2 linked regions of the Arabidopsis thaliana genome follow. The protein of the gene in region 2 interacts with the protein of the main gene of each other region in a pairwise test. Each region holds a gene or a part of one and is shown on either strand. Other genes may lie near its edges.

What was found.
Region 1: the proteins of RRC1 (region 2) and WEE1 interact in a protein complementation assay, tested with the Arabidopsis thaliana proteins (one study listed by BioGRID).

The regions. Positions count from the first base shown.
Region 1 is NC_003070.9:666,727-680,898, reverse strand, and holds WEE1 (WEE1-like kinase), read right to left. Parts: upstream 7,594-14,172; 5' UTR 7,492-7,593; coding exon 7,193-7,491; intron 6,936-7,192; coding exon 6,875-6,935; intron 6,801-6,874; coding exon 6,734-6,800; intron 6,459-6,733; coding exon 6,195-6,458; intron 6,087-6,194; coding exon 6,019-6,086; intron 5,932-6,018; coding exon 5,822-5,931; intron 5,713-5,821; coding exon 5,672-5,712; intron 5,560-5,671; coding exon 5,405-5,559; intron 5,308-5,404; coding exon 4,954-5,307; intron 4,856-4,953; coding exon 4,772-4,855; 3' UTR 4,480-4,771; downstream 1-4,479. Other genes in the region: CUL2 (cullin 2), read right to left, coding at 1-41, 122-340, 415-558, 635-796, 902-1,078, 1,169-1,321, 1,409-1,531, 1,611-1,751 and 5 more; AT1G02965 (uncharacterized protein), read left to right, coding at 8,085-8,248, 8,351-8,381, 8,493-8,567, 8,754-8,793, 8,925-8,980, 9,116-9,238; AT1G02960 (kinetochore protein), read left to right, coding at 11,126-11,149, 11,249-11,279, 11,386-11,438, 11,633-11,672, 11,765-11,820, 11,912-12,043, 12,154-12,286, 12,431-12,726 and 6 more. UniProt on the Arabidopsis thaliana protein: Cell cycle regulatory kinase that is not rate-limiting for cycle progression under normal growth conditions. Transcriptionally activated upon DNA stress or damage in an ATR- or ATM-dependent manner.
Region 2 is NC_003076.8:8,630,723-8,647,034, forward strand, and holds RRC1 (RNA recognition motif (RRM)-containing protein), read right to left. Parts: upstream 9,496-16,312; 5' UTR 9,263-9,495; coding exon 9,188-9,262; intron 9,074-9,187; coding exon 8,941-9,073; intron 8,766-8,940; coding exon 8,720-8,765; intron 8,464-8,719; coding exon 8,403-8,463; intron 8,302-8,402; coding exon 8,167-8,301; intron 8,047-8,166; coding exon 7,930-8,046; intron 7,839-7,929; coding exon 7,673-7,838; intron 7,325-7,672; coding exon 7,212-7,324; intron 7,030-7,211; coding exon 6,955-7,029; intron 6,559-6,954; coding exon 6,337-6,558; intron 6,261-6,336; coding exon 6,202-6,260; intron 6,099-6,201; coding exon 6,014-6,098; intron 5,909-6,013; coding exon 5,771-5,908; intron 5,627-5,770; coding exon 5,402-5,626; intron 5,318-5,401; coding exon 4,581-5,317; intron 4,112-4,580; coding exon 3,948-4,111; intron 3,787-3,947; coding exon 3,497-3,786; 3' UTR 3,107-3,496; coding exon of another isoform or gene 2,498-3,106; 3' UTR 2,414-2,497; downstream 1-2,413. Other genes in the region: AT5G25050 (Major facilitator superfamily protein), read left to right, coding at 1,300-1,663, 1,739-1,998, 2,082-2,177, 2,243-2,413, 2,498-3,106; AT5G25070 (neurofilament light protein), read right to left, coding at 10,539-12,749; AT5G25080 (Sas10/Utp3/C1D family), read left to right, coding at 13,060-13,282, 13,375-13,430, 13,529-13,583, 15,178-15,258, 15,346-15,584. UniProt on the Arabidopsis thaliana protein: As a member of the SWAP1-SFPS-RRC1 splicing factor complex, modulates photomorphogenesis by regulating the gene expression and pre-messenger RNA (mRNA) alternative splicing of a large number of genes, including those involved in plant responses to light signaling.

The sequences.
Region 1 (14,172 bases), on a different chromosome or scaffold from region 2:
TCAACAATTTTCTTCCTCTCATCCATCGGAGGCAGAGGCACCTGTTCAAGAAAAACACATCATTTTTGATCCGGGCTTACATGAAAATAACAACACAACGCTAATGAAAATATCATCATACCCTAATTCTCCTCATCTTATCGGTGAACTTGGAGTTGAATTCAAAGGTATCGGTGTTGGAGATGTTTCTCGACATTGGTTCCTTTATAAGAATCTTGTACTTTAAGCATGATAGTGAATGAAGCAGCCTGGCAAGATCTTCATGGCCGAGGTTTAGCTGCTCCAAGATCTCAGTGTAGCTTAATCTCTCTGTGTTGTTGAAGAGTAAAAGCACAGCAGCCTGACAGAAGAAAAAACAAGATATTTAAGTACAAATAAACATCATCACCAAGTGACAACAAACCAGAAACATACCTGGTAGGTGGTAACTACTATCTCAATTGTTTTTTTATCGAATTTTCCAGCTAACTGACAAGTTCCTAAAGAATAAATCCATGAAAGTCTCCTGGAATTGGTTTTTGTTCCATAATAGGCCTTAAAAGCTTCAACACAGTTGACCTGAAACAAAAAGAAAATTGGAGCTCAGACAATCTTCTTCTTTTCTGTTTCAAGACTTACAAAATAAACGACTTACCATTTCAATGGGTAGATTGAGGTCGGTTGTTTTGTAACTTGGCCAAAAACCAGTAGTAAGTACAGTGACAGTGAAATCCATCCCCAGCTTTTTGGTCTTGTTAACTGATAAAAATTCCACGAAGTTGGTTTGGTGTTCTTTTGCCAATGTCATATCCGTCAGCTATATGAAACAAATCGAATGTACAAAAAAAAAAAGCATTATTAACCTTCGTTACTACTAAATAAGCAACCCGTTTTCAAAGGAAATAAAACTCATGTGACTAACCATGCCCTCCATCTTAGAAGTAAACTGCGCACCGAGTAGTTCTTTAAACTTTGTAAGTAAACTTCTTTCGTGGTAGTCATTACCGTTGCGATCAAACAAGAGCCGACGGGCTTGTTTCTTCCTGAAAAACTCGGCGAAAAGATCCTTGTCACTTATATAAACAAGCAACTTAACCACCTGTAATAAATAAAATTAAAAAAGTCAGCATCAAAGTGACATATTTGTAGGGCATTATTAGCAGTATATATGAAGGAAGAAGAAAACTACTTTCTCAAGCGTAAGTTCAAGATCTTCATTTTCAAGCTTCTCAATTCCCCCTCCCGTCTTGAGGATATTATCGCAATACGTTGCAAGAATTTCTGCACTGGACACTCCAGCCACTGTCTTGTTACAGAAGACTTCAAATGCCTCCTTCAATGCCTACAATATATTCAAAGAAACTATGGTCATTAAATAATATAGTGTGGAAAACAAGATAGACATGTGAACACACACACATACACACACCTTATGGAAGAGGCTGTGTTTCTGAAAACACTCATCGACGTAGACCATGAATTTATCGTGTAGGTCAATTAATTGTCTGATAAGCACCTGGTCCTGCACCTTCAGTCCACTAGTACTTGCAGCCTGGGGAAGTACGTAATTCTCAGCAATAAAAAAAGGAGTAGACTAACATCTAATATTCGAATGAGCAAAGAATATAAACCTTATCAGTAGCTGCCTCGGTAGCTTGTTTGATAAGGGCACTTCCCTCTACAGTAATATGTTGCTTGAATAAGTCTGCAACAGGATCCAGCCCTTGCGGTATTGGATGATAAAGCCTGTACATCCTGGCGAGATCATCCATCTGAAAGTATATCCAAATGCTCAGTCAAAGAGTGAATTTTAGAAGAGAACTCTTTAAGAATTAAAGAAACCAACACAAGTCGATTACCTTGTCGTCTCTTAACAATGCACGGCATCCTGAGTGCTCATTTTCTATAAGTTGTTTTGCAACCACTACCAACAATTCATTTTGTACTTTCTGCATCCAAAACAAAAAACAAACAATCAAAACGCTTAAACATTCCCTCAGTCAAAATATGATTATTCCAAATATATAATTATATATTTCAGCTAACCGCAACTAGTTTCGGCTCAGTGGTTGAATGAAGGTAGTTGGTGACTCTCTCCTTCTCCAGTCTTAGAGACTCCTCAGCCTTTATCATGTAATCAGGACAAGAATTCTCCTGGTTCCACCTTGAGGCGTTGCGAGAGTAGTAAGATGCAGAATCTTCAAGCAAGAAGCTTTCAAAATCCTCTTCGTATTTAACCAGCTCTCCCATCCCATTCCCACAATAGACATCTATTACGTTTTTCAATAGTGCTCTATCAATCTGTTCGCCCTCGCGTTCTTTATGAATCTGGCAATACAAATTGCGTTAGATAAACCAGAATAAGTAAACCAGAGCTACTCAGTTAGAGATACTTACAAGTGCTAGTACAGCGTCTTTGGCCTTGGACTGTAACTCTTGATAAACCAGGTCGCGGAAGGATATGAAGCCAACAGCACTCAGTGTTGGATGAGACCCCCGACGAGTATAAAAACGGTCAAGATATTCGAAGAAGTGGGATAACCATCTAACAAGAATTTTCTGGTTGGCCCATCTCTTAACAAGCTCTCTCAACATATATTCACCATGCTTCTCACGTATAGCCGGCAACACCTAATCACATATAAAAACATTAGACCGTTTGCTCAAGTTGTACAGAACAGCGTTACAGAATCAAAGCCCAAACGCAAACATGGTATATTACTCACAGTTTGTTTATTGTAATCAACATATACTCCACCATACCGATCATAGATCTGCTGTGAGTAATCATTAGGAGGTTTCTGGGTACACAGATTGTGGACAGTCCTGTGAATTCACATCGCTGTGTGTTAGTATCCACACCGTTAACGGAACTCTAGTAAAAACAAGAAACAAACATTATAATAAGAAGACATACGTGTACAGCTGCATACGTTGAACCGGGTCAAATGGTGGCTCATCAGGCACTTCTTCCAGAATCTTTTGTAGCTTTGCAACACCAGCCTCCATGACAGACCATCCTGCCTCCAACACAGAATCCTTCTTCGCCATTATGAGATGAACAAGGTTCTGCAATAAAGTAACAAGACATGATGAGAAATCAAGATAACTAAAACAGAATTTACTTGTTGAGATCTATGATACTCTTATATATCATCAAAACACAAACTAAAACTAATCAGACTACCAAAAGAACAACGATAAGAAGATATTACGCATCCATCACGATGAATCACCAAGAGAGAAAGAAGAAGGAATTTGAACACAACAATCAAATCAAGTATTTCGCAGAGAATCAACAAAGCACAGAGAAGAAGCCAACGTAACCCTAAATCGTTCATACAGAAACGGGACGTAACCCTCGAGCAGATATTGCGAAACAGTGACAAAAACAGAAGAAATCAGCGAAAGACTAAAGAAGAGTACGAAATCGAGACATGTGAAGAGAAAAGTGTGCGATCTTAAACCCTAGGTTCGTCACGTACCAGAAGGTTCCGAGAGTATTACTCGAATCCGATTTCACAGGGATTTGGAAGAGCTCTGAGAATCGAGAAGTTGGTGTCTTAAAGCCTAGAAGAGAAAACAGAAGATATTATTATATAGGAGGCTTTGAGAAAGGCGGTGAAGTTTTTTGTTATTGTTTTCTTTGAAAATAATATATAGAAAGTAGATACACTTTTTTATTCCTTTTCTTTTTGGTCAAAGTAGAAAAAACACTTACCTACCAATTAACATTTTTAAGTTGAAATCTGGACTCTATAACTATGAACATTTAATATTATGTACCTTAACAAATGTGTTTCTTCTATTTCTATGGTGTAGTGATTTGGAATTATATATGTGTTGGTTTTTTTTCTCTTGTGGTAATGATAAAAAAGGTATTATAGATTTTTTTATTATTAATATAAAATTATGATAACTATGAAGATTAATACTTTTAAGGAAGTATATCATGATAAACTGATGTTATAGTATTTTGAGTTTGTTCTACAAAGATTGAATTTTAGGATTTTACTTAATTTTTATTGATTGATATTAATTAATTGTAGATTTCATACTACTATTGATTCAAAGATATTAAAAAATATTTCATTTAAAAAGGTGATTGACAAATAATTAAATAATGATTGTTTGTTAATATGTGAAAACTCTAGAATATCAATCTTTTAGAACAGAGAGAGTATTTTGGAAATTAGTAAATTTTAACAGAAGCATCTAGAATCTTTTTCTTCTTTTTTTTTTTTTTTTTTACATAGTACATGTGATGAAGCAATAAACTAAACACCTCTTTAATTAATTTATATTGCCTTTTCAAGAAATTGAACCGCAATTGGGGAGAGAAAAAAGTAAATAAATAACCTTTAGAGCTAGTGTAAAATCATTAGACTTTTGAGTTTTGATCATAATCAACTATACAAGTTTTAAACTACCGTGAAGATTTCACCATTTTGCTTTGCTTTTAACCATTCTACCATTGTGTGACCTATTACCCTATTAGACTCTTCAAACAGTTTCAACTCAATAAAAATCTAATGGCATTTGAGATTATAATGAAACATGAAAATACAATTCCCAATTTCAGTTCCACAAATATACAATAGCCATTAATTCAGTTCAGTTTTTGTTGGTTAACCGGATCTTTTGTACCGAAACCAAGATCATGGTATCTTTTTACGCCAATAGTTTTCCACAAAAAAAAAACTGGTGCATGGCCATGGACCATTACCCTCCTCCGATCATTGGTACCATAATTTACAAAATTTAGTTCTCGACATCTGAGAGACTCTATGAATCAACCTCGAATCCTATCAAACATGGGATGGTCCAGTAATTCTCTAGCAGAAGGCCGACGCTTCGGATCACGATCCATCATTGTCTGTTTCAAGAAACATGTCAGAATTTCTGTCTTAAATGCTATGTTCCAATGCGTGGGACAGCCATGACAACACACAAGTAAGAATGCAAATAACATACCTTAAGAAGTTGTTGTAACTGCAACGAATGGCCAGGAAGGAGAGGAAGTTTTCCTTCTTTGATATTGAGCGACTGGTTTCTTGATTCTGTAAGAGGAGATCCCTTAATCAGCTCATAAACCGTCACACCTAAAGAGAAGATATCGACTTTATCAAGGTGTTCGTAGTCTTCATTTAGAATTTCTTGAGGCATGTAACGTGCATCTCCTTCTTCTACTGGTAAGCTTTTGTCCAATCGTGTGGCACAACCAAAGTCACCAAGCTTGCAAACACCGTTCTTAATGTAAATATTGTCAGGTTTTACATCTAAATGAGCTATTCCTTTCTCATGCACAAAATGTAATGCCTTTGCTATCTGTAAGAGACATAGTACAATGGTATGTATATAAGAATTCAAAGAATCAATAATATCTCTATACTTGATTTTATATGAAAATGAAGCCAGTGTTTACCTGATGCATAATCACCAAGATCTCTCTTTCTGAGACTTTAAGAGAAGATTTCTTAGGCAAAGCTGACAAGCTGTGATCGCAGAGTTCCAGTTGAATGTATAATTGCTCATTTTCAAACCACGAGGAGTAATATCCTACTATATTTTCATGAAACCCTACGAACAAAACAAGATAAAAACGGTTTAAGGCTACACTGAGCTTAGCTTGCAAACAGGGAATAACAGAATAGTTTGAGAACAAGAAGGCCAAAGAAGGGACTGTACTGACCAAGAGCAGCAAGAGCTTGCACTTCCATCATAGCTTTACGTCTGCAAAAATTCAGCTGTGATTACTTGAACAAAAACGATCCAAACAAGATGAACTATTTTCAGCAGATATGTGTCTTTCTCTTACTAAGAAAACTAGAGAAAATTATACCTCTCTGAATCTAGATACAACTTTCTTGTGCTGTGTTTCACAGCATATAGGCAACCGTCCATTCTCTTCAACACCTTAAATACCCGACTGAAATGTCCAGCACCAATTTGCTGGAGAAACCAAACCAAAATACGTAAGAAGAAGCAACATAATTCCGTCATGATCACAATTCCAAGCTAAAAGACCCTTTCGCTTACCCGGATTTCATGAAAGTCCGTGAGATATCTTGACAAGCCATCCCCACTTGTACTTACAGGGAGAAAACCTACATAACAGTATATTTAGTACAGTTTTACTGAAGAAACCAAGCCTTATTGATTTTTAAAGCCTTCAGGAAATTCTTGAGCAAGAATTTTAGGGACAACAAACTTACTTGCACATTTTGATCTCTGATGTCCAAAAGGGTCAGTAGCAGTCTCAGACTGATTCAACACATACGGATTCTTGAGGCAAGGGGGTGGCATAGCCCGACACCGCAGAGCAACTGCAGCCTGTGAAACGTATCCAGTCCTCTCTGTTTGATTAGCTTGGAGTTTATCCCCCATCACCTCATCTGTGTCAATATCATCATTCTCTTGTTCATCTACTCTATGTTTTGAAGACCAGGTAGAATTTGAATGATTTCCTGTGAAACTCTCTGCATCAAACACAAAAAAAAACAAACAAAACTGAGTAATGAAAAAATTAAGCAAAGAACACACTGTCACCAAAACATGAAATCACTAGATACTACTAGTGTGAATCTTAAAGCAATAAAGAATTCAATATTGGACAGTTGTTAAAACAGGAGATCAAACATAACTATAATGATAACAATTGTACCACAAAAACTGAAACGTATATTTTCTTCTCATCCGAAAATCTTCTTTTTACTCATACTAAACACAAAATCTGAATCCAAAGAAAGCTTACCCTGGCGACATCTTTTGCTTTTAACTGTATTTAGTTTAACAGGAGACCTAGGACATGGAGAATGATCCTACAAAAACAATAAAGAGAAGAACTTTAAATTTGAGACATTGGTGAAATAAACATCCAAATCAACAATTTTACCTTGCTGATATCTAAGCCGCTCATCAAGTTCTGATTGTCCGGGGTTATATAGTCAGGTGTGCTGGAAAAATTAACCAGAGAAGAAATTATTAGTAGCTGAGACCATCATTCATCAACATCTCACAAGCATCTTTTAGCTAGACATAAGTTTAGCTTTCATTTTTAAAAAGTGAATATAAGGGAAACCATCTCAAATCTAAAGTCAGATCTTGAAATCGTAATACTAACTAATCCCAAAATTCAACTACCTAGAAGATAACGATAGATCTCGAATTAGATATACACAGCTAAGAAATGCCAGAGTTAACGAAGATTTACCAGAAGAAGTCTTGGCTAAGAATAAAGTCCTTCTCTCCGCAATTGGCATCTGAATCAGCGGAACCCAACTGATTTCGGAGTTCCGAAGAATCCGAATCCAGGAGACCCTGAAACGCCGATGAAGCAACATTCGACGACGGACGATTTTCGAAAGAAATCTTCGACAATTGACCGAATTGAAGCAGAGAGTGACGCTCCAATGTCCCTTCCATCTTCCGAATCTTCTTCGATGCCCTGGTTTTGATTGTCCCTTGGGTTTTCCTCTTCGCCAACAGTGTTCTTCCGTTCTTCTCGAACATGACGATGAATATTATTACTTTGGGTGGTGATTCAACTAAGGAAAAATAATTGAAATAAATTAATAAATTCAAAATTTGCGCGCTCTCGTCTTTTAGAGTTTCGAGCTAAAATTTGGGAATAGTCATCTGCATGACTGACTACGGTGCACTTCCTATATAATCAATTCTGGACCGTTCAATCTTCAGGATTGAAATATTTTGCTACAGATAAAGTAAAGGTGCAGCGGATCTTCTGTAGAGCGTATCATGTACGCTTTGATGGGTCTTTAATAAATAATATTTTTTTCTATAATAGCACTAGCATTTTTTTTGTTACGATTCACTAATTTAAATATTCAACTTTCTTAAGAAATATAATATTTTTTGTTACGATTCACTAATTAAAATTTTGAATTAGTATTTTTTGTTAATTAATTTAACAATTTGTATTTTTATTGGTCAAACAACTAAAAAGTTTCTCATTTTTTTTTTTCCAAACATGAATTAACTCTCCTTAATCCTTATAACTAAAGACCAGTAATTTGTACTAGAATGTGAAATTAAGGAATTGCCAGATTAATGTTTGATTAATTCTAAAATGTGGGATATAAAACATGGGAATTGGGCCTATTAAAGCCCAATTACTAATACTAAAAGAAAGTAAACTCAGAGAAGGGCCCATATCCAAGCATACTAACGGCAAGGACGGTATAAAGGTGCACGCCGGCGAGATCGATTTGAACGGTGACGGCGAATGTGACGGCGAAGAAACCTTCCGGTGACTGTTCTACATCTCTGAGAATTGTTTGCTTTTGCGATTTCTTTTATTGTTGGATTAATTTGATTTTGAGTTTTGCTTTTGTTCTTGTTGGATTTTCAGGGGAATCCAGATTCCGATCAGAGCATCTCTGGTGAGAACTGATGATTGCTTTTATCATCTGAAATTTCGATTTTAGATCTTAGTGTTTAGGTCGCTCATTGTCTAACAAGTGATTCGCAAGCTGTTGTTTGGTCTTTTAGAGGAGGAGGAAGAGATCATCAATGTTAGTTTGGGAGAAAATGATATGTGGCCAAGCGAGAATGCAAAGGAAGAAGAGGTAATGTTTAATCTCAACTTGAGCTTGCATAAAGCTCTCTGGGAACTCCTGAGAATTTGTCTTTGAGAAAGAACATGGGAACTTTTGATTTTGCCCAATTCCTGATTGTTGTTGGCTTGACTAGTTTTGAGGAGCTATAGGGTGAATTTGATTGTGGTTTGACCATAGTTGGCTTGAATATTGTAGGGAGGATTAATACTTCAAACAAAGCTCGAAAAACTCATAGGTATATATTTTGCGATCAAGCCTTTTCTATGACTATCTTAACTTCAGTCAGGTTTCCCGTACCTTCTTGCAGTTCATAGATTAACTGATTAAGGAAAGTGTTTTCATAAGGAGCTTATGTGTTGTTTTCAGGTTGTGGTGCGCTAAATTATGCTAGGGATCCCGGTGATGTAACGGTGGAAGCAACTGTGAGTCGTTTTCGTTTTCAAATTCTTTTGCGCAGCTTCTTGTTCTGAGGAATATTGGAATCAAATGGTGATGAGAGAAATTTCCTTTTTAGCTACGGAAGATATCAGAATAACTAAACCAGAATTGTGTTACAGATACTTACAAGTACTGATTTGATGCCGAAGATTTACCAGAATTGTGTTACAGGAAATGCCGAAGATTTACCAGAAGAAGTCTTGGCTAAGAATAAAGTCCTTATCTCCGCAATTGGCACCTGAATCAGCGGAGCCCAACTGATTCCGGAGCTCCGACGAGTCCGAATCGAGAAGACCCTGAAACTCCGATGAAGCAACATTCGACGATGGACGATTCTCAAAAGAAAGCTTCGAAAATTGACCGAATTGAAGCAGAATAGTGTCGCTCCAATGTCCCTTCCATCTTTCGAATCTTCTTCGTTCTTCTCGGTTGATGGTTCCTAGGGTTTTCCTCTTAGCCAACAGTGTTCTTTCGTTCTTCAAAATTTGATGGAAAGTAAAGACAATAAATAAATATATTCAAAATTTGCGCGCTCTAGTCTTTTCTCGTTTCGAGCTTGGGAATAATCAGCTGTATCAATGACTACGGTGGATTTCCTATTTAACCGTTAGATGAAAGGATAGTAATATTTTGTTACAGATAAAGTAGAGGTGCAGTGGATCTTCTGGAAGGCGTGTCATGTAATTTAATAAATAATACTAAAATTAAAATTAAAATTTTAATATTTATTTAAAGTTAAATTATTTTCTGTTTTATAGTATAATTTTAATCATTTTATACATAATACAAATTTTTACTTGTTATTATGGATAGATACATCAATTTTAGAAAATTAAATTAAAGTATTTATAATTTTTTAATTCTTTTATTGGTTTTAAAAGTTAAAAAAAATTAAACTAAAAGAAATATTGATAAACAAGTTATTCTTATTGTCAACCTTCTTGAGACTCAAAATTATTCGGACAGCGAACCTTATACTTGTTTTTTTATATATTCTAACATAAAGAGGATATGATATGAAGAGAAAATCGGAAAAAGTGTTATAGCGATGATGACGGGTGATGGAGGGTTTGCGGATGTGATTTTAGATCTCATAGAGAATGGATTTAAAGTGGTCGTAGTGCACCCGACTGGAGACTCAACCAGCCAACTATTCACATTATCACCTGACTATCATAGATTGATTGATTCAAAAAGTATGCTAAAGACATATGAACAAGCCCGTGACTCAAATGAATAATACTTCATTGGTTCCTTGGATTCCGAGTCCTAAAAAATCAATGTGTATGTATTTATATCTTTAACCTTTTAAGAAATATATAATGTTTTTAATGTATTTCCAAATTACGATTTAGAATTAGTGTTTATTGTGATTAATTTAACAAGTTTTCTTTTTATTGGTCAAAAAATCAAAAAATTATGAAATAACTCTCCTTATATTATTGAAGAGCAGTATTTGTACAAAAATGTGAAATTAAGGAATTTGCTAATTATAACTATTAACTAGAGATTGATCCGCGGTATATTTCGGTTTAATATTTTCGAAAAAAGGTTAAAGATTTTTATTTTAATTAATATAATATATATAAATAGCATATTAAGAGATATACCATAGACCTATATTTTTATCAAAAATATTTGTATGATATACTTCCAAGACGATTTTGTATCTTTTTAATATTTTTATGCTATAAAAACTTAATTAATTAAAAAATTAGCAATTAATTAAATGTAATTTAATGATGATAATATTTAGTTCAGAATATAAATTTAGAACAATAGGGATGTTCACTCTGATTACATTGGTTCTATATAACGAATGAAATTAATAGCGTTAAAAAGACCTAGAACAATATTTTTTTTAAATAGATATTGTAGGAAATAAAAACTAAATAGTATATATTTTGGCCCAAAATTCTATATGTAGATTAATTCTAAAATGTGGGATATAAAAAACAAATTATAAAACATGGAAGAGTTTTATTGAATTGGGCCTGTTAAAGCCCAATTAGTTATACAAAAAAGAAGAAGTGAATATCTCAGACAAGGGCCCATATCCAAGCATACTAACGGGCAAACGACGGTACAAAGGCGAACACCGGCAAGATCGATTTGAACGGTGACGGCGAATGTGGCGGCGAAGTAACTTACCGGTGACTGTTATGCATCGCTGAGAATTGTTTGCTTTTTTCTCTTTCCAGGACATTGATTTGATTTTCTGTTTTGCTTTTTTCTTGTTGGATTATCATCAGGGGAATCCAGATTCCGATCAGAGCATATCTGGTGAGGACTGATGATTGCTTCTTTTTCTTCATCTGAAATTTCGATTTTAGATCTTTGTGTTTCATTGTCTATCGAGTGATTCTCAAGCTGTTGTTTGGTCTTTTAGAGGAAGAAGAAGAAAATGATATTTCGCCGAAGGAGAATGCGAAGGAACAAGAGGTAATGTTTAATCTCAACTTTCGATTCGTTAAGCTTGCATAAAGCTCTCTGTGAACTCCTGAGAAGTTGTCTTTGAGAAAGAACTTGGCAACTTCTGATTTGCCGAATTGATTGTTGTTGGCTTGAGTAGTTTTTTTTGAGGAGCTATAGGGAATTTGATTGTGGTTTGACCATAGTTGGCTTCAATATTGTAGAGAGGATTACTACTTCAAACAAAGCTCGAAAAACTCATAGGTACATATAATATATCCATTTTGCGGTCAAGCCTTTTCTACGACTATTTAACTTCAGTCAAGTTTCACAAAGAGCTTCTGTGTTGTTTCCAGGTTGTGGTGAGCTAAATTATGCTAGGGAAACCGGTGATGTAACTCTGGAAGCAACTGTGAGTCTTTTTCGTTGCAAATTCTTTTGTGCAGCTTCTTTTTTGGAGGAATATTGGAATCAAATGGTGATGAGAGAAATTTCCTTTTTAGCTACGGAAGATATCATCCTCTCTTGAAGATGTGGTCGAAGTTCCTGACTCCCCCGAGGAGAGTTATATTTCTTCTTCCAGAAGAACTGGATTAGCATGCATATCTGCTCAGGAAAATGGGTCAGATGATGAGGTTACCTTCTAATCTTGGAGTCCATTTCACTCATGCATCTTGATAAGTTCTTCAAATTGGTGACAGTATCCTCTACTTATGTTTTGAATGGTGATTGTTGTTGCCTTCAGATTACACATGATGAACAAGTGGCAACTTGGTCTGCTATAAGTAAAGAAACCAAGTCACTAATCCATTTGAATGGTGTTGCTTCAGTCGCATCATCCCATCTATCTGGCTTCAGAGCCAAGAAAAGTAGTAATGGTACTGTTTTATCCAAAACTCTTCTTGGTATTTTTTTACCGTACAAGTTAAAGAACGTTGCACCACGTATGAAAACTCAAAGAAACAGATCATGTATGCACGATTTTCTGAAATCTCTGAGTTGGGTTTCTAATGTATATGCAGGTCTCAAAGATCATGGGAGGCCAAAATTTTCATTTAACTCACATACTCATGGAGAAACGTCATCCAAGATAAGTGACATGGCTGAAATCTTTGAGCCTGATGTGGAGGATCAGGCTATAGAAGAGGATCCAATTATTGAATGCCCCAACAGTTTTGATGAAAGATCAGAAAACAGGCAGGGTGTTTCTGTTGCTGAGTCGAGAGAAGTTTTGCACGAGTGCACTAAAGATGCGGTACCCAAGCTTCAAGAAATTCCTCTAGATAAAATTAGACTGATAAAAAGAAGCTCTGAACTGGTATTATTGATTATACAGTGGATTAGCATTTGATTTGCTGCTTTGCTCTCAGACATCTGTTTCATTCGTTTGGCCTCCTTTCTGCTCCAGGACAGCAGACATGAAGCAAAAAGTCGGAAATTTACTCATAAGGGAAATTCATCTAACTTCCAAGATAGTGATACTGATGATGAACTTCCTGGACCTATGGATAGTGGATCATCAAGCGATGATGAGGTTTTATTCTTTTCCTTTCTTGTGATTTGGGTAATCTCCTTCTCCTCAGTTTACAGTCAAATTCAAATTATATTGTTCTGTGACATAGCCTAGTTATCAAAGCTCAGTGCCAAACATTTCCAACCAGAAGAAACAATTTGTTGGGGACCGGTTTGATGAAGCAATAAAAGCTTCCTCTTTGAGCAAAGAAGGTCTCTTGTTCGGTTCACCTAAATTATCTGGGTAATCAAACTCTCAACATCTTTTATGCACCACACTCTTAAAATCACACATCAGTTAACATGAAAACCCATTTTTGGTTGCATCAATTTGCAGTGGCTCTAGCCTGTATGGCAAGCTGCAACAGATCATGAAACAAGAAAAAGAGACGGAAATGGAAATCATGAGGAAATTGCAAAGCGGAATCGGAGAAGCAGGTAACTCTTTTTGTAACTCCCATATAAACAAAATCTAGTTCATACCTCTGTTACTCGTTCCAATTTCCCAACTCAGATTCATCGGGCTATGTTGATGTTAAAGTCATGTCAAGACACTTGGAGGGAAAGCTTGTCGTCTGCAAATGCTCTGTCATTGACCTCTCTGGGGTTTATCTCTCCATCTCTTTGACGCATCTGATAAACCTGCTCCTTTAATTAGACCCTTAAGCAATTGATTTAGTCACATTCGATTTTGTAGGACTCCCTATTACTCAAGAACACACAAGCTCTTGCGGCAAAAGAAACAGAAACAACAATTATTTTTAGTCCGAAAGTTTGTGCGGATGTTGATATCGAAATAGGGAACTTTATCCGAGTATATGCGCCATGGTCAGTTTTGATTCCACTCTTTAGACTCTTATCCCATGTCACTAAACTCTTTTGTGATATTTAGCTTTTCAATTTTCAACAGGAAGGAGTTGGAAGTGCAGAAAACCAATGATGTGATTATTTTGTCTTCATATTTCTCAAGTTTGTAATATAACTCACACAAATGTCAAGATGTGGAAAAAACTTGCAAATGATTTTATCAGTGTGTATAAAAACGATAATTAAAGCTCTCTGATTGATAACAATCATACTGATCAGAGCTTAAAGTGTTTTTTGATTTATCGTGTTTTCTTCTTTGGGTTTACTACTGATTAAAGGCGTTAATCAGTTCTCACAAATGATTCAACTCGTTTTAGTTATTTATACATGAACTGTTTGTTGGTTTGATTCCTGTCGTGTGCTTTGGTAAACCTCAAAGTAAAGC
Region 2 (16,312 bases):
GTTTGTTTTGTTAAGTATTTAAGATTATACAATTTTATTTCTTAATTCTATAATTTCACCGTAGTATTATCAGATGAATTTTGTAAAGACTGAAAGTGAAAATACTAAATACTTTAAGAATTTTTGGCTAAAAATCTACAAAAACGTACATGTAGATTATCAGTTTCAAGTATTTTATAAAATAAATAAAAAAAGTAATATAATAAAGAGTAACAACAGTTAGTAGTTGGTGGCAAGCTTTTGTCTAAGTCTATATAAATTATCAATAAAGGTGACAACAATATCCCAAAATGCTGGGATATATATATTTACTTTTGTTATAAAGAAATGAAAATGGGCTTTTTGGTATTTCATGATCAGTGGAGAAGTAGTGGTGACAAGATCTATATTTCACCCAACGATTTCCAAACACGTATTTAAAGAGGATATACTAGGTTAAGAAACACAAACAAAACTACTTCTGTTCCTTTGTTTGGCGACTCTTCAAAAAGCTTTTGGATTTTATTTTATTTTGGGAAATACTGGAATTAGAAAACTTATACACATAAATCAAATTCTTTCAGATACATTGTATTCTCTAATATACTTTAAAGTTACGTAATTTTAATTACAAATTCTTACGTTCACCTTTAACAACAACGAAAAAGGTTCTTCTTATGTAGAGAAAGAAAAGTCAAAAGTATTGATGAAGTAATATGGTGACTTTGATGCAAAACCAAGCTTAATTCCATTTAACAAAGAACTCATCTTCTTCTATTGAATTAATAACCTTATAAATTCTATAAAAAGCTTCTATTTTTGAGGTAAAATTGCAAAAAATAAGCAGAGGAAAACAGACAAGAATGTTCTTAGTAAGAGACAAAGAAAGATGTGTGTTCTGGTCAAACATTTAGCAGCAAAAGCTTTGACCTTTTCCTTTCGTCTCTCTTGATCTAAGTTTTATCCTTTAGTTTCTTTATTCATTTTCTTTTTCTTCTCTTCTTCTTCTTCAATGGTCATTTGTTGTTCATACGAAAACAGGGTCAACGAATGTGTGCAAATTTCATTTTTGTTTCTTGAGTTTAATTCAAGATTCATCATATTTGATTCCCAAATCTTTGATTTTTGACTTGCTTACATCAAAAGATTCATCCTTTTTTTAATAATCTGAGCTCAATCCAATCCAAGACATACCAACTTCAAACAACTCTCTTGTCCTCGCCCCTCGGATCTGTTTTTCAGACCAAACCCATATCAAAAGTTTCAACATTTAAGCTCAAAACAGAGCCAAATCTTGAATCTTTCTCCTCCTTGCAAGTTATGGTAGTAGAAGAGCAAAGCCTTGAAAACGGCGGATCCGTACATGTGGTCAAAGGAGAAAGTAATTTCCGTAATGTGGTGTGTGGTCCTGTACGGTGGCTAAAGATGTTGTCTTCAGAGCTTCATTGGAGCTTTGTGTTTGGTGTAGTCTCACTATATGGAATTAACCAAGGGCTTGGTGGCTCATTAGGTCGTGTAGCTACAGAGTATTATATGAAAGATGTTCAAAAAGTTCAGCCTTCTGAATCTCAAGCTCTCACTGCAATCACTAAGATTCCATGGATCATTAAACCACTTTGGGGCATTCTCACTGATGTTCTTCCCATCTTTGGTTTCCATAGACGTCCTTACTTCATTTTAGCAGGTAAAATCTCGCTCGAAATTTCGATCAAAGTCTCTTTGATTTCTCTTTTAAATGTACAAAACTCTGTTTTTGTAGGGGTGCTTGGAGTGGTTTCATTGTTGTTTATTTCACTGCATAGTAATCTACACCTTTACTTGGCACTGTTTTGGATGACAATATCAAGTGCTGCAATGGCGATTGCTGATGTAACCATTGATGCTTGTACTGCTTACAATAGTATCAAACATCCTTCTCTTGCATCGGATATGCAGAGTTTATGCAGTTTAAGCTCTTCCATTGGAGCACTTCTTGGTTTCTTTATGAGTGGCATCTTAGTTCATCTTGTTGGCTCTAAGGTTAATGAATCGTCTGTCTACTATGATCTTTTTCATTTGTGTTTCCTCTCTAATGCTGTATTTGGCTTGTTTTGCGACATTAGGGTGTCTTTGGATTGCTGACATTCCCATTCGCGTTAGTATCGGTAGTCGGGATCGTGTTTAGTGAGCCCCATGTTCCTGGTTTCTCTTACAAACAGGTAATAATTATTCTCTCTTTGGTAGCTTGATCATGAGGGTATTGACTCTTGTTGTATCATTTCAGGTGAACCAGAAATTTACCGATGCAGGGAAAGCGATGTGGAGGACAATGAAGTGTTCAGATGTGTGGCGGCCGAGTTTGTATATGTACATTTCCCTTACTCTTGGTTTGAACATACATGAAGGTCTCTTCTATTGGTTCACAGATTCAAAGGATGGTCCTTTGTTTGCTCAGGTATTACCAAAACAAATAGTTTCTATTTTCAAACTTCACCCCAAAATAAGTAATATGCTGAAGAACCTACCTGGTCTGTTTTAGGAAACAGTTGGTTTCATTCTCTCCATTGGTTCAATCGGATCGATTCTAGCAGCAACGTTATACCAACTAGTCCTAAAGGATCATCCGTTCCGCGGACTTTGTTTGTGGACTCAACTTCTCTTTGCTCTATCGGGAATGCTTGACCTCATTCTTGTGTTCCGTCTCAACTTAAAATTTGGTTTACCGGATTATCTCTTCATAGTAGTGGACGAGATAGTTTCTCAGATGATCGGACGCTTGAAATGGATGCCGCTGCTTGTCCTCACTTCAAAGCTTTGTCCCCACGGAATTGAAGGGACGTTCTTTGCATTGCTAATGTCAATTGACAATGCAGGCCTCATGACCTCATCTTGGCTTGGAGGGATAATGTTGCATGTCCTCAAGGTGACTCGGACTGAGTTTGGTAACCTGTGGCTTGCGGTTTTGGTCAGGAATGTCATGAGACTTTTGCCGCTTTGTTTTCTGTTTCTTGTGCCTAAAGGAGATCAAAACACGTTCAAGCTCCCGGATGAGATAATGGGCGAAGATTCGGACGAAGAGAAAGATGAAAAAGAAGGAACTCGGAATTTGGAATTGGCTTCTCTTGTTCACTCTGTTGATAGAAGATAGCTAGTGTTCTTTTATTATAGTGTTTGAAGCAAATGCTTCAGTTTTTCAGCAGTTTTGCCGAACTTCACTTTTACTTCTGGAAAGTGCAAAAGGCACACACTACATTTTTCTCTGAATGCATAACAAGTTTGTGTGTTTTTGGTATAGAAGAAACAATTCTTTGTGAATTTGGGGACCTACCTAATCTACTTACATTTCTAAAATAGTTCCATAAGAAAAACAAGAATCCAGTAGAAGAAACAATTGAGTGAGAAATCTTTCAGAAATTGGGATACAAAATTACAAGCTGTGTCTGAGAACAAGTTCTACAATATCTTCTGGATTTAAAAACACAAAAGGTTAAAATCTTGAGAACAGACCATGAGGTGAGAACAAGCATAATCATCATTATCATCTCGTGCCTCGTCTGCGCCAATCCCTGTCTCTCTCTTTGCTTCTATCATTATCGTCTCGATCGTGGCTTGAACTCTTTTCACGTCGATCTCGATCCCTGTTCAAATCATGTTGCCTATCTCTGTCTCTGTGTCTCTCTCTATCCCTGTCTCTCCCCAAGTCATGATCTCTCTCCCTCGTTGATGATTTCCGTGGCGGACTTTGGCTCTTGTTTTCCCCACGGTGCCGCTTTTTAGAGGACTCTTGTGAATCTTCACGCTTCTCCTTCCGCTCTATTATTGATTTCTCTGCAGTTAAAATCAATGTGTGAATACCTAATTTAATAGTGTTTGAGACGCATTAATAGTGTTTCACTCATTGTTGCATCGAATGGAAATAGAGCAAATTAACAACCTTTCCCAAAACAAAAGAAGAGTATGTGTATGTTGGGTGAGAAGTAAGAACTTACGATTTCTGTTGCCCTCGTTAGGTCCTGATAAGCCATAATCGACTTCAAGCCTCTTTCTGTTTATTTCTACTTTTCTCTCTATCTCTTCGGGGTTTTTCATCCCCTGTTCCTCAAGAGTTTCACGATACTCTATCAAAGCAACTTCTATGCGTCTCCGCTTTTGTCTGCAGTAACAAAAAACAGAGCAAGGGAGAAGTCTATTGAGTTTCAGATTATACAATTGAATAGCAACTTCTACTGAAAGTAAGTTCTCATATTTTCTTGTTAACTTTAACAGTATTGGTGCAAGCTCATGTATGGGTAGGTAAGGCACATTTGGGTACATACAATTGATGCATATGCCCAAAAGCTTTCTATGGCTCTCAATTATCCAACTTAACCGGGTAAGAGCCAAAATACAAAATAATGTGTACTCTATAAAGACCAAATCAATTGAAGTTCACAAGAACACACCTCCCTCACTAACATAAACTACCCTTACGCTGATGTTACTATTTCGAGGAATTCTTTGTTGTTTTTAATGCTCAAGCACCAACATGAAGCAATAATGCAAATTGGTGTTTTTTAATCTATATTTTGCTTGCTTAAGTTACTTTCCTAATATCTTTTCATAAAGAGATGCATTGATCATACCTTTGTTCCTCGTCCATTCCGTTGTCAGGTTGGGCACGGACACAATCATTTCCCTTGAGATCCTCGCCATCGGCCTTGAAAGTTATCCCACCAGTATTGTCACTTCCTGAAGAGGAGCTCCTCTTTTGTTCATCATCAGCTTCATCATCGTCTCTCGCCCATTTTGAAGCTGGCAATATGAGTTCATTCTTCTCTTTTCCCACAAAGGCTTTCAGCTCAGGCTGTGGGATTGGTATTGTCGTGGGTAGATTCACAGGCTCTTTCATTTCAACCTCTGCGTAGCTGTTCTTGATATGCTCCCGCTCACTCTTAACTTCTTCCCAAGTTGAATGGTTTTGCGGATGCTTTGGAATTTCATCCACTGCTTCATAGCCGCGTTGTTTCTCTGTGTCTTCAAGGCTTAGTAGCCGGGTAACCATCATTACTCTACCTCCTACAAGAGACAGTCCGTTGTGCCGACAACGCCTCTCAAGCTCAGCAATTGGTAAATTCATCAGCTCTTGCCTTGCAGCTCCTTTGCCTATTGCCAGTGCAGCATCTGGATTTATCTTTCCAATATCACTCATATTGTCAGCGTAACTTTTGTTCTCTATTTCAGGTGCATCACCGCAGATAGAATGAAATGAGGTAACACCAGAGACTCCTGATCGGAGAAATGTGGAACGTAGTCCATATATGTATGCGTCTGAAAAGAGAAACCAATCTGCCCATACTTGCAGTACTTTGAGAACCCGTTCCTGCAAAAAGTCAGAAAGAGTTTAGAAAAGTATATTTATAAGGGAATGAAAACCATCAACGATCATTTTTCTTTCTGACAGTACTTTTAGAGCCTCAGCAGTAATTCTTCCAGTTATGCTTCGGTACAGATCATTGAAGCTTTCCATTATATCAGGTAGAGTTGCTTCGAATTTGGTTCGGTATGCAGATGCATTTTTAACACGTGCACTGCTATTATGAAGAATATCAGACACAAGCATGAGTCTAGCAACTTTGGTTGGAATTGATGTCTCTTTTAGAGTCAGGGACTCCGTCAAAACTTCAACAACCTGTGGAATTAAGTACACATATATAAGTAGGAAGAGGCATATGAATATCTATTTTATTAACGAGTAGTTCTGTTCAAATTTTTTGTGGTGTCTAGAAAAAACCAACTAAATGTACTGAAATATATAAGTCAGAACATATTGTACCTCTCCAGCTGCATCTGCATTATCTAAAGCGAAACCCATAGCTTCTTTTATCTGACTCCTTTCTAAAGTAAGAGCACGCAACATGTCCTCGAACTCATCCCTCTGAGGATCGGTCAGAGTCCTCTCAACTTCCGCACGCTGTAAGATTTAACAGTGTCAGGTATCCCGCACACCAAAAGAACAACTTAGCTAACAAAAGAAAAAGAAATAAATAAATTAGAAGTAAGAGTGCAAGAAGATTACTCTGGTTCTTCCCGCCGCATAAGTGCTGGCAGACTCTTTTTCGTGCTCCTGGGTCCTAGTTACAGGCAGTGGTGGCGGTATCCATCTGCAATAAGAGCAAATAGACAGTGTTAATACAACAGATGTCATATGCAAAGGTAAACCAACCGAACACCCGGATCAGTTTCAAAGTTGGCAAGGTTCAATACCTTCCACTACCAGTTATCATGATATACGGCTCTGTTCTCCACCTTTGAAGTGTATCACCCTAAACAATGCAAAAATATTCAATCAGCTTATGACAATGCAAATATATGCCTAGTTAAAAGGCAATCAAAATGTACCTGAGCGAAGGAATATAGTCTCCAGACGTAGTAAGTATGCTCCTTTGAGCCAAGCTCGAACATAAACTTGAACAGTGGATTCCCACGGCCCCTCTCCATGATAGCTTGTTCAAAAGCACATTCACCATCCAGAACATAGAGTGCCAATGTATCAATGACATGTCTGAGGTGCTCGTCCTCAGGGGTAACAACAGTGATATCCGGAACATTAGGGGTAAGAACCTGTTCAATGCAACGGAAGTACATATGGATTAAGATTATTAAAGACGGGCAGCTGTAAGAGTGTCGTCAACTATAGGTGCCGTATCAGCAAGTTACTTGAATCAGTATCATTACAAACAAGAGAAGCATTAAGTACTGAGAAGTTTCAAGTATCTGGGGACTGGTTTAGTGCCATTGGGGGTTTGGAAAGTAGAGGATGCACTACAAATAGAATTGATCCCAAGTTTGGTTTTTAGTTCTGCTTTTGTCTTTCATTACTTTAAGAAATAAAGACAATCAATTCTGAAACTTAACAGTAACATTTCTGGACTATAAAGTAATTCAAAAGCCTTCCACGAATATCATATAGAACTTATAAAGAACCAATTCAAGCCATGTGGAACCAAGTTTACATACCAGCTCAGAATTTTGATTTGGAACAGAAGTTATTATCGGTGGACCCGTTTGACCAGAAAAAACCAAGTTGCAGCCCTGCCAATGAAATATTTAAAGTTTTTAGAGTTAAACTAAAGAGATATAAAACTGGCAGAACTTTTTATGCAAAAAATGGCAAGGAAATACCAATAAATTCAGAGATCGGGCCATACATAGGTTAGTGAACAGAATTAAAGAAGAAATATATCTAGAAGAGCAGCACAGGATGCATCACAAACCTCCTTACTCCGAATAGCCATATGTCCAGGTGGTGGAGCGGGTAATGCTTGTGACGGTAGAGAAACTGCTTTACCCCATCCAATTTTCAGTTCATACTCGTACACGATGATCCCTGTAAAATTGGAAATTTTCCTTCATAACTTTCTTTAACATTGTCACATGCAATCAGGTATATAGTTAGTACAAAACCAGTCGACTATAGACAGATAGACTAGTCAATAATGCCAGAAGGGTCATTAGTTTCCAACATTAATCAACCACTGGGTATATGTTTCGATCAACAAGGAAACCAATCAAATTTTGTTGAACTGAAGTACTCAAACTAATATGCCTAAAACGTTTCTTGTTCAACTATCCATTTTAATCTCTCATATATATCACACATGTTGCATCTACCTAGAAAATGATTTCTAACCAAGGCTAAAATAGAGAGTCCTAGATAGAAGAGAGGCTAGCTAACCTTGCATTTCATCTTTTGCAGCTTGTCCATCAGCCCTATTCATGAAGGAAACAAAGCCACAGTTTCTTTGTCGCCTCTTCTCCTCATCTGTTCTTGGCCACATAATCTTGACACTAGCTATGGGCCCAAATCTTCCGAAAGTGCGCAGAAGGAAATTCTCATCAACCTACGTGAGCATAAAATTATACCTTATGAATATTAAGAATACAATGGCGAGAGAAAACAACATATGATCCAAGTAAGAAAAGAAAAAACACCTTTGGGGACAGATTCCCAACATACAGATTCGTAGTTTGTGGGTCACCATCGTCAAACGATCCTGGCCTCCCACTGGGATCAAAATCATCAGGTAGCTCATCAAAGCGGCTAGATGGCTGAATACAGAATAAGTTTAGTATAGAAAGCCGGGAGTCCAGAGTAAATATGAGAGCAGAACACCGATGAAGAGAGCAAAAGAGTATGATGAAGAGAGCACAAGAGTATAATGAACTAACCGAGCTATCGCCCTGACGGTCACGATCCTGGTTTCGTCTTTCTCTCATTTCTTGTTCACGTTTCAACTCCTCCATGAAATTATCTATATTTCGAGTCTTTCCCTTTTCTCTTTCCCTAGGCCTCTCCTCCTCCCTCTAGAAAGATGAAATAAATGAACTTACAACTAAATAATTGTGCTTCAAACAACAAACCCAATGAACAAGAGAATTACAGTGACAAAATCCATGCTACTGACCTTCTTCTCCGGTTCTTTACCCTTGGATGCCAGTGGTGGTGGAAGGAAAGAGGGAACATACCTACAAAGATTAAGTGGACGATAATCTTCTATATAACAAGAATACACGAATGAATTTCAACTTATCAAGCAATACCCAAGAACATCATTCCTAAGACCTCAGCTAGTTACAAATACATGATTAATAATATTTTACTCAAGCCTGGTAACAAACATATCAAAAGTGTATAACTCATCAGCAAAATCACGAGCGACCAAGCTCTTTCGATCTACGATAGCAAAGCGAGATTGATTCAATCAAAAGCAATCAGTTTTACCTACTCCCCTTCTTTGAAACCGAACCCCCATCTTTGGACTTTTCACCTGCCATCCGCGAACGCATAGAAAAAAGGTCCATACACTTATTAATGCGTTCCCAATATAATCAAAGCATTGCTCTAACCATTTGACACCAATCAAAAAGAACAAAGTACACACAAAGAGAGAAGCAATTGTAAACAAACAGTTAAAAAGCTGTGTAGCCTTTGCAAAGACTAACCTTCAGAATCAACCTTAGGCTTGTCACCAGGATTTATCGTCCCACCTCGAACAAAAGTCTTAGTAGTTGCATTATCCCCTTGAAACGATTCCACGAATTCTTGATACAAACGAGCCGTTTCATCCTCTGCTTTCTGCGATTAAGATCGAAAACCCCATCGATTAATCAATCAAATCAATCTCCGATGAACAAATTTCTCAAATTCTACCCAGGAATAGCGATGAATCGATTGAAAATTTCAACTCACCTTCTTCCTAGCTTCTTCTTCTTCTCTGTGTTTCTGGAATGGTGTTTTCTTACGAGTGATCGAGAATGAACTCATTGTTTCAGCATCCAACTGCTCCTCGGGAAACTTGTACCCAACGAAACAGAGAAGCCGAATTGATGATTGAGAAAGATCAAAGTAGAAAGATACGAAGACTATGGATTCTGATTCGGAACTAGGGTTTGGATGAATCGAGAAAGGTGACGATTGATCAGGAAGCGAGCTAGGGCTCGAGGAGAGAACACAAGACGAGCTAAAAACGGGAGATAGGGAAAAATAATAATTAGGATAAAATATTTGTATTTTCAGTCGTCTTTTAAGAATTTGTGGAATTTTAAATTAATTATTGCGTAAGCATAAAATTTTGATAAATAAATTTAAAAAGTTACATATACAAAAAATGATAATAAACAAAATTTAAATCTAAATTGATATTTATTATAAACTGGAAAGAATATATTGTTTCAAAAATAAAAACTTTTAAAATAACTATGAGTGTTAACATATATTTGTAATAGAACAAAATTTTTTTTGCTGTTGTTTATAAATTATAACTAGAAGAATTGAAATTTGAGATTGAGGTTAAAGAGTTAACGTTCTATTTAATAGAGAGATTTAGAGAGTGATATAAATAAGAAAATACATATTTAGAAGTGATTTGGAGTAAGTAAAATTTTACATAAACTGTATCTTTATATATTATTCCCACAAAGAATATTTTCATATATTTAGAGTTGGTTATCTTAGTTAAGAATGGTTCAGATGATGATGAAGTAAAGTTCATTATAGTGGTTTCCTAGGCTACAATTCCACAATGGTATCAACATCTTCAACTTCTCTATGTAAAATCATAGCATCCAAGAACATCCCACTTTGTTACTTACAGCGAGAGCCAGACATTTCGACGGAGAGGTGTCATAAGACTACTCAAGTCCAATACAAATAAAAATTCAAAACAGAATTGCCATAACGAGCCAAGTTTACAATTTTTAAATTACAATGACTAGTAAGACAACAATGTTTACCTACCAAATCAACAGTTTGATCTAAAGTAAACAGAGAAACAAAGAAAGTATATTCCAACAAAAAAAAGTTCCTGGTGTTTCTATCCTCGTAACATTTTGAATAGAATAAGCTTTCTCTCTTTTCTTTGAACAACCAAATCGATCAACACATGGATCCCAAAAACAACCAAACAAAAACCATATACGTGGACTGCGTTATGGAGCTTAATGTTGTTGATAGATTTACAAAACCAACCATTCGGTTCTTTTCCTTGATGATTCAGGACATTCCTGTAGTCCCTAGGATTGAACCTGAAGCAGTTTCAGAGTTAAGATGGAACAGATTCCACCAGTTCTTGTAATTTTTTCAGACCAACGGTGGCTATGAGTTCCATCGAGACAAAAACTTCATTAGATTTTGCTTTCTCTTCTTCCTCTTCCTCTTCTTTGAGACCGCCTGTGAGTTTAAGCTTCTCTGCCTCGGATTCTGCTTCTTGCGCTTCCTCAAGTAGAAGATTAGCTTCTTCAAGGTCGCTCAGTTCCAGAGCAGCTGATCTCTCAGCTTTTGCAGTTCCACTGTCAATCCGCAACCTCTGGAATCTACTAATAGCCAATTCTTTTTCTTTCGACAAAATCAACTTCTCTATCTCTTGTAGCCTCTTGATGGTTTCTTCAATCTCATGCTCTGCTTTTTCGAGCTCAGCGTTAGCTTTTCCTGTTTCCATCTGTGTCTTATCCTTTTCTAAATTTAAAGACTTGGCTTCTGCAGCTATTCTTCCAGCTTCTTTAAAATTTCTCGTTGATGCAGCCACTTTCTTCTCTGCTTCAAGCTCCGGCATCCTTTTCTCTATGAACATAATTTTATCCATGAAAGATGTAATGTTCTGTTGGATGATCGACTTTTTAGAAGATCGCTCCTTAAGTAACTCTCGGGTACTGGAAACCTCCTCTTGTAGCTTCTGTACTTCCTCAGAAAGCTTCTCTTCGATATTTACAAGCTTAGCTCTCTCTTCTCTAGTTTTAGACACATATGACATCAAACCTTTCCGCAATTTAATAACTTCCTCATATTCACAAGCTTCATCCGCTGAAACACGGGCAAGATCACGAAGTTTGGCTCCTCTCTCCTTCTCAGATGTCATGAACTCGTCCACGTCTTTCTTCTTCCTTGATAAATCTTCAGTTTCCTTGTCAACCTCAGTGAGACCAGCTTGCACATCGTTTAACATTTTATCCATACTTGTTTGCAATTCCTTGAAGCCAGTCACCACATTGTTAATTCTTTCCTCAACTGCCTCTATTTGCGAATCGTTCTCGTCAATCTCCTTCTCCTTTGCCTTCACCAAAGCAAGCAGCTCCTCAAGTTCATTTGCCAAATGTTCTTTCTTCTTCTGCAGTATCTCCTTCTCTTTCATATCTTGTTCAACAGATCCCTCAAGAATACCATTCAACGACAACCGAACGTTATCAACAACAACAGATTCTATATCCAATTCGACTTTTCTAACCTCAACATCTTCAGAACATGAATGCCATTTCTCCATTTCATCTGAATAAAAAGCTTCTGCTTTCTCCAGAATCGATCCAGCATCATTCTCAGCATCCGTGCCAAAACTACGAAGCAGACAGGCAGATTCTTCTTCAGCTGCAATCTGAGAAAGAAGAACCTCTTCCATTTTCGACTCAATAGCATCGCAATCAGATTCCGCTTGGCGAAGCAATGCCAACAATGCTAGCCTATCTCTTTCCTTAGCAGCGAGGCTTTCGCTAATCCTCTCAGCCGCATCGAAATCCTCTGTCTCGATCGCTTCCTCAAGCTGCTTCTCGAGCTCTTCGTGCGTCGTAGAAGCTAATCTGAGATTCTCAGATGCTTGCCTTTTCTTCCTAATCGCATTCTTACGAGCAGAAGTAACCGAAGCAGCCAAATCACGAGAACGATTTAGCTTCGCTTCGATCTGAGCCTTAACTAACTCCAACCTTGAGCTACCATTACCAACAACCACAGTAACAACAGGAGAGTCTAAAGATTGATTACCGGAATCAAACACTTGCGCGACGGAATCAGATATTTGACTAACTGAATCTGATACTTGACTAACGGAATCGGATTGTTGACTAACGGCATCATCTTCGTCTTCGTCGAGATTGTTGGTTTCGTGCCTACCGTATCCAATTCTTAATCCAGCCGCTCTCTTCTTCCTCCGTGACACCTGACGTCCATAATTCTTCGCCGGAGATTGATGAGTAGTGATAACTGCCTCCATCGGCTCAGGTTGGTGTTGAACCGGAGTCACAATCGTTAAGTCTGAAAACAGATTCTCGTCCAAAGCCTCCGTAATATCTGGCTGAGAAGTAGCCGTGATCAGTGTCGCCTCCGTCACATCTGGTTGAGAAGGAGCCGTGATCAGTGTCGCCTCCGCCGCCTTGGTTTCTTCAGATTGAGGCGGTGAGCTTACCTTGCTGTCACCGGAGAACTGAGACGCCGGTGTAAAAAGCTCCATCCCTTCGAACAGGGAATCCATATCGTCGCCACCATCCATCGCCGCCGATCTGATCAATCACCGATCTGATCTACATTTGAGTTTGAAACCTTTTAATAATTCATAAAAATAAATTCACTAGTTTAATGGGCCTTAAATGTTTGACTTGTCTTGGGCCTATTAACGGCCCATATTTGATAATGCTGACGTCACTCTTTCCCGATTGTGTTAGCGCCTCTTCATCTCCATAAAGATAAAAATTTCAACACTTGTCGGCGACTCAGAGAATCTAACCGGAAACCTAATCTCTTTACCTCTGAGTCTATCTACGCCGGATTTTTCAATTTTCAAATTCTCGATTCGATTGAAGATGGAAGGAGGTGGAGGAAGTAGCGGCGGAGGAGCTGGAGGAGTGGTTCCGGAATCAGCGATTGAAGCGGTGAATCAAACACTTGCGTACCTCAAGGAACTGAAGCCACAGCTTGAGCAGATGCTGACTTTAGCTGAGCCAGAGGTTCTCGCTGCAATGCAACCATTACAGCGAGCTAAGACTATGCACTTGCTAGCTGAAGCCACCACTACTCTTTACGAACGTAACACTCTTTCTTCTTTGTGAATCTGTTTCGATTGAAGTTTGTTTGTTTGTGATAAATTTGAATTTTTTTGTTGTTTTGTGTGTTTACAGTGAGGTTGAGATGTACTGGTGTTGATCCTGATGATCATCGTGTAAAATCTGAAATTGTATGTGTCTTTGGATGTTTTAGTTCTCTTATTATCTTGTTAACTTAATCAAAATGGTATCTTTTGTTGTTTGATTGATGGTAGTATTGGTTTTGTAGGAGCGGATAAACGTGTACAGAGAGAAGTTTCAGAAGTGTGTTGATCAAAGTAAAGGTAAAGATTGATTTTCTGGTGCCTGGATTGATTTGTAGAGAGATCAAAAACTTGTTTGGTTCTGTGTGTCTTTTGGTTTAAACCATTTGTTTCAGTTTGAATTGGCCATTGTATTGTCTCGTGGATTAAGCAAGTTTTTTTGGCTTTCTCTTTTCATTGGAGAATTGCTGCTTTCAATTACCTTTGTTGGGGGATAATATTTCAACCATGTTCAAGGATTATGCTCTCAGCTTAGAATTTATTTAGCCTTTCGTAATTTTAGAGGCTAATAGGTGCTAACGATTTCTTAAGCGTTAAATGATATCCTCTGTGTACCTTATTGTTGATTAGTACATTTTGAGGACTTGCGTTTCTGATCCTTTGTTTGTTGGGATTATGTATCTGCCTTATATAGTTTTCCTTGTTTTGTTCGATGTTTAGTGTTGATACTATTTTTCGTAGATATGATGATTTTCTTTAAAAGACTCTTTATTGCTTGTACCCATCTTAAATGCAGGGAAGTAGTGTTTCCATTAGAAGGCTTTCTCTTTTCATTGGAGAATTGCTGCATCCATTTACCTTATAAAGTTGTTGGGGATAATATTTCAACCGTGTTCAAGGATTTTGCTCTCAGCTTAGAATTTATTTAGCCAGTCTTAATATTAGGCAGATAGGTGCTAACCTCTTCGTTGATTAGTACATTTTCCGAGGACTTGCTTTTCTGATCCTCTGTTTGTTGGGATGATGTATCTGCTTTAGATTGTTTTCTTTGTTTTGTTCTATGCTCAGTGATGATTTTATTTATTTTTGGTAGATATGATGATTTTCGTTGAAAGACTCTTTATTGCATGTACCCATCTTAAATGCAGGGAAGTAGTATTTCCATTGGAAGGCTTTCTAATAATGAATCGCGCCTAATCCATTGTTCTGGACTTATCTTTTAGTCACCTTACTATTGCATCTACCTATCATCTTATATTGAAAGGAGATTTCCTCTCGTAGTCTATTGAATGAAATTAGGGAGACTGATTCGTGATCTAGTTTCTCTGTATTTGTTTTTCCGTTGAATAGCTTTAAAATCAAAGTGGATAGTTTCAACTTTGTTTTGTCAAGATTTACTTCCATTTAGACAACTTATTTGATTTGAATTTATTTGTGGCTCATTGTTGATGTTAATGTTTCGCGATGTTTTTCGAAGTTTTTTCTTATTGTGGAAGATCCATTTGTTCTTGTCTACTATCTCAAATTTTGGAGGCTAGTGTCTTATCTTTGTTTATCAACGAGCTTTTATATTCCGTTTAGAAAGTGCTTACTCAATTGGTAACACTTGTGCTCTGCGTTTTTGTGAAATGACTCGTGGGCCTTTCGGGCAAGAATCGTTTTGTCGATATGCTACCGGGTACTAATGGGCCGACTAGTTCGACTTAGTTTCTCGAAAGTATTTCTTTTCATGCACATCGTTTCATATTTAACTTGTCTAATTGATGTTTGGTTTATCTGATAAGGAAATTTTGTAGTCATTTCGATTTTGTTAGACATTGAATGGCTACCTCTAATCAATATCTTATCCTCTAAATGTTCTCTTATCTATTTCTCTTTTTTTTTTTTACCGTAGGACCTTTGCGCCCGACCACTGTCTTAAACCGTCAGGCAGCAACCCGTTTCATCGAACATTCTCTACCTGATCTTACATCGAGTAAGCTTTTGTACAGTTTGTTGTTTCCACCTCTCTCTTTTACTGTATATCATTGTTTCTCTAACAGTCATTGCTAAATGAATCTAGCCCAAAAGCAAAGCATTAGAGACCTCAGTAAAGGAGAGAAATCGAGGATCAGGTATTCTGAAACATCTGCGAGAAAGAGGAAATACCAATCAAATGAGAAACAGTCTGTTCAGTCAGCTGCGAAGGACTTTCTTGAAAAGGCAGCTCGTGAGATTATCGGTCACAATGAAAATGGTTTGAAGGGCCCTTTAGTAGCGGCAGCTGATGGTTCAGATGATGTCGAAGTTGGTACAGCCTGATTTATTACCAATATATCATGGTAATGTTCTCTTCTGATTATCTTTGACACCTGAAAGCAAATCTCTAGAATTGCCAACTAGGTGGATGTCTAAGGAAAAAAAACGATTCTTTCTCCTAATACTTTATGACTATGATCACATAATGAAAACACTGTTTCCTTCCATTTGTTTTGAAAACTATAGTCTCTTTATGAGTTATCCTTAGGGATTTATTTGCTTCTCCTCATGGTATGATTATAATATCTTTGAGTCATATAAAGGATGTACCAATAAGGAAGATTTGTTCATTGTAGTGATTTCTCTCCTAGGCTACAAATAGCAGAATAGTATCAGCATCTTTAGTCCTCTTCGTGTAGATCATTGCATCCGTTACTTATCTGCTGATTATCGTGAAGTTTTCAGCACCATTTCTGTCTCTACATGCCAGGATAGTATCAACTTCTCAGTTCTCTTCTCTTTGTGAAGCATTGCATCCGTTACTTTGTAAATTCTCAGTCCTTCAACTCTTTCTCTTCTTCATATTTTGCAGCTGCTGCTACATTTTCTGGAACGTAGTTGTGGCATTCGTCATCGTCGACATTGCAGAGAAGTTGGTTTTGTCAAGTTTTAAAATTTTTGGACCTAGTTAGTGTTGTGGTGTATGCTGTTTGTACATTGCATTGTGTTAGTTACTGTTTTCGGAAAGCTCTTGAAGTTGGTGCATTTTGTATTCGGAAATAACATTAATA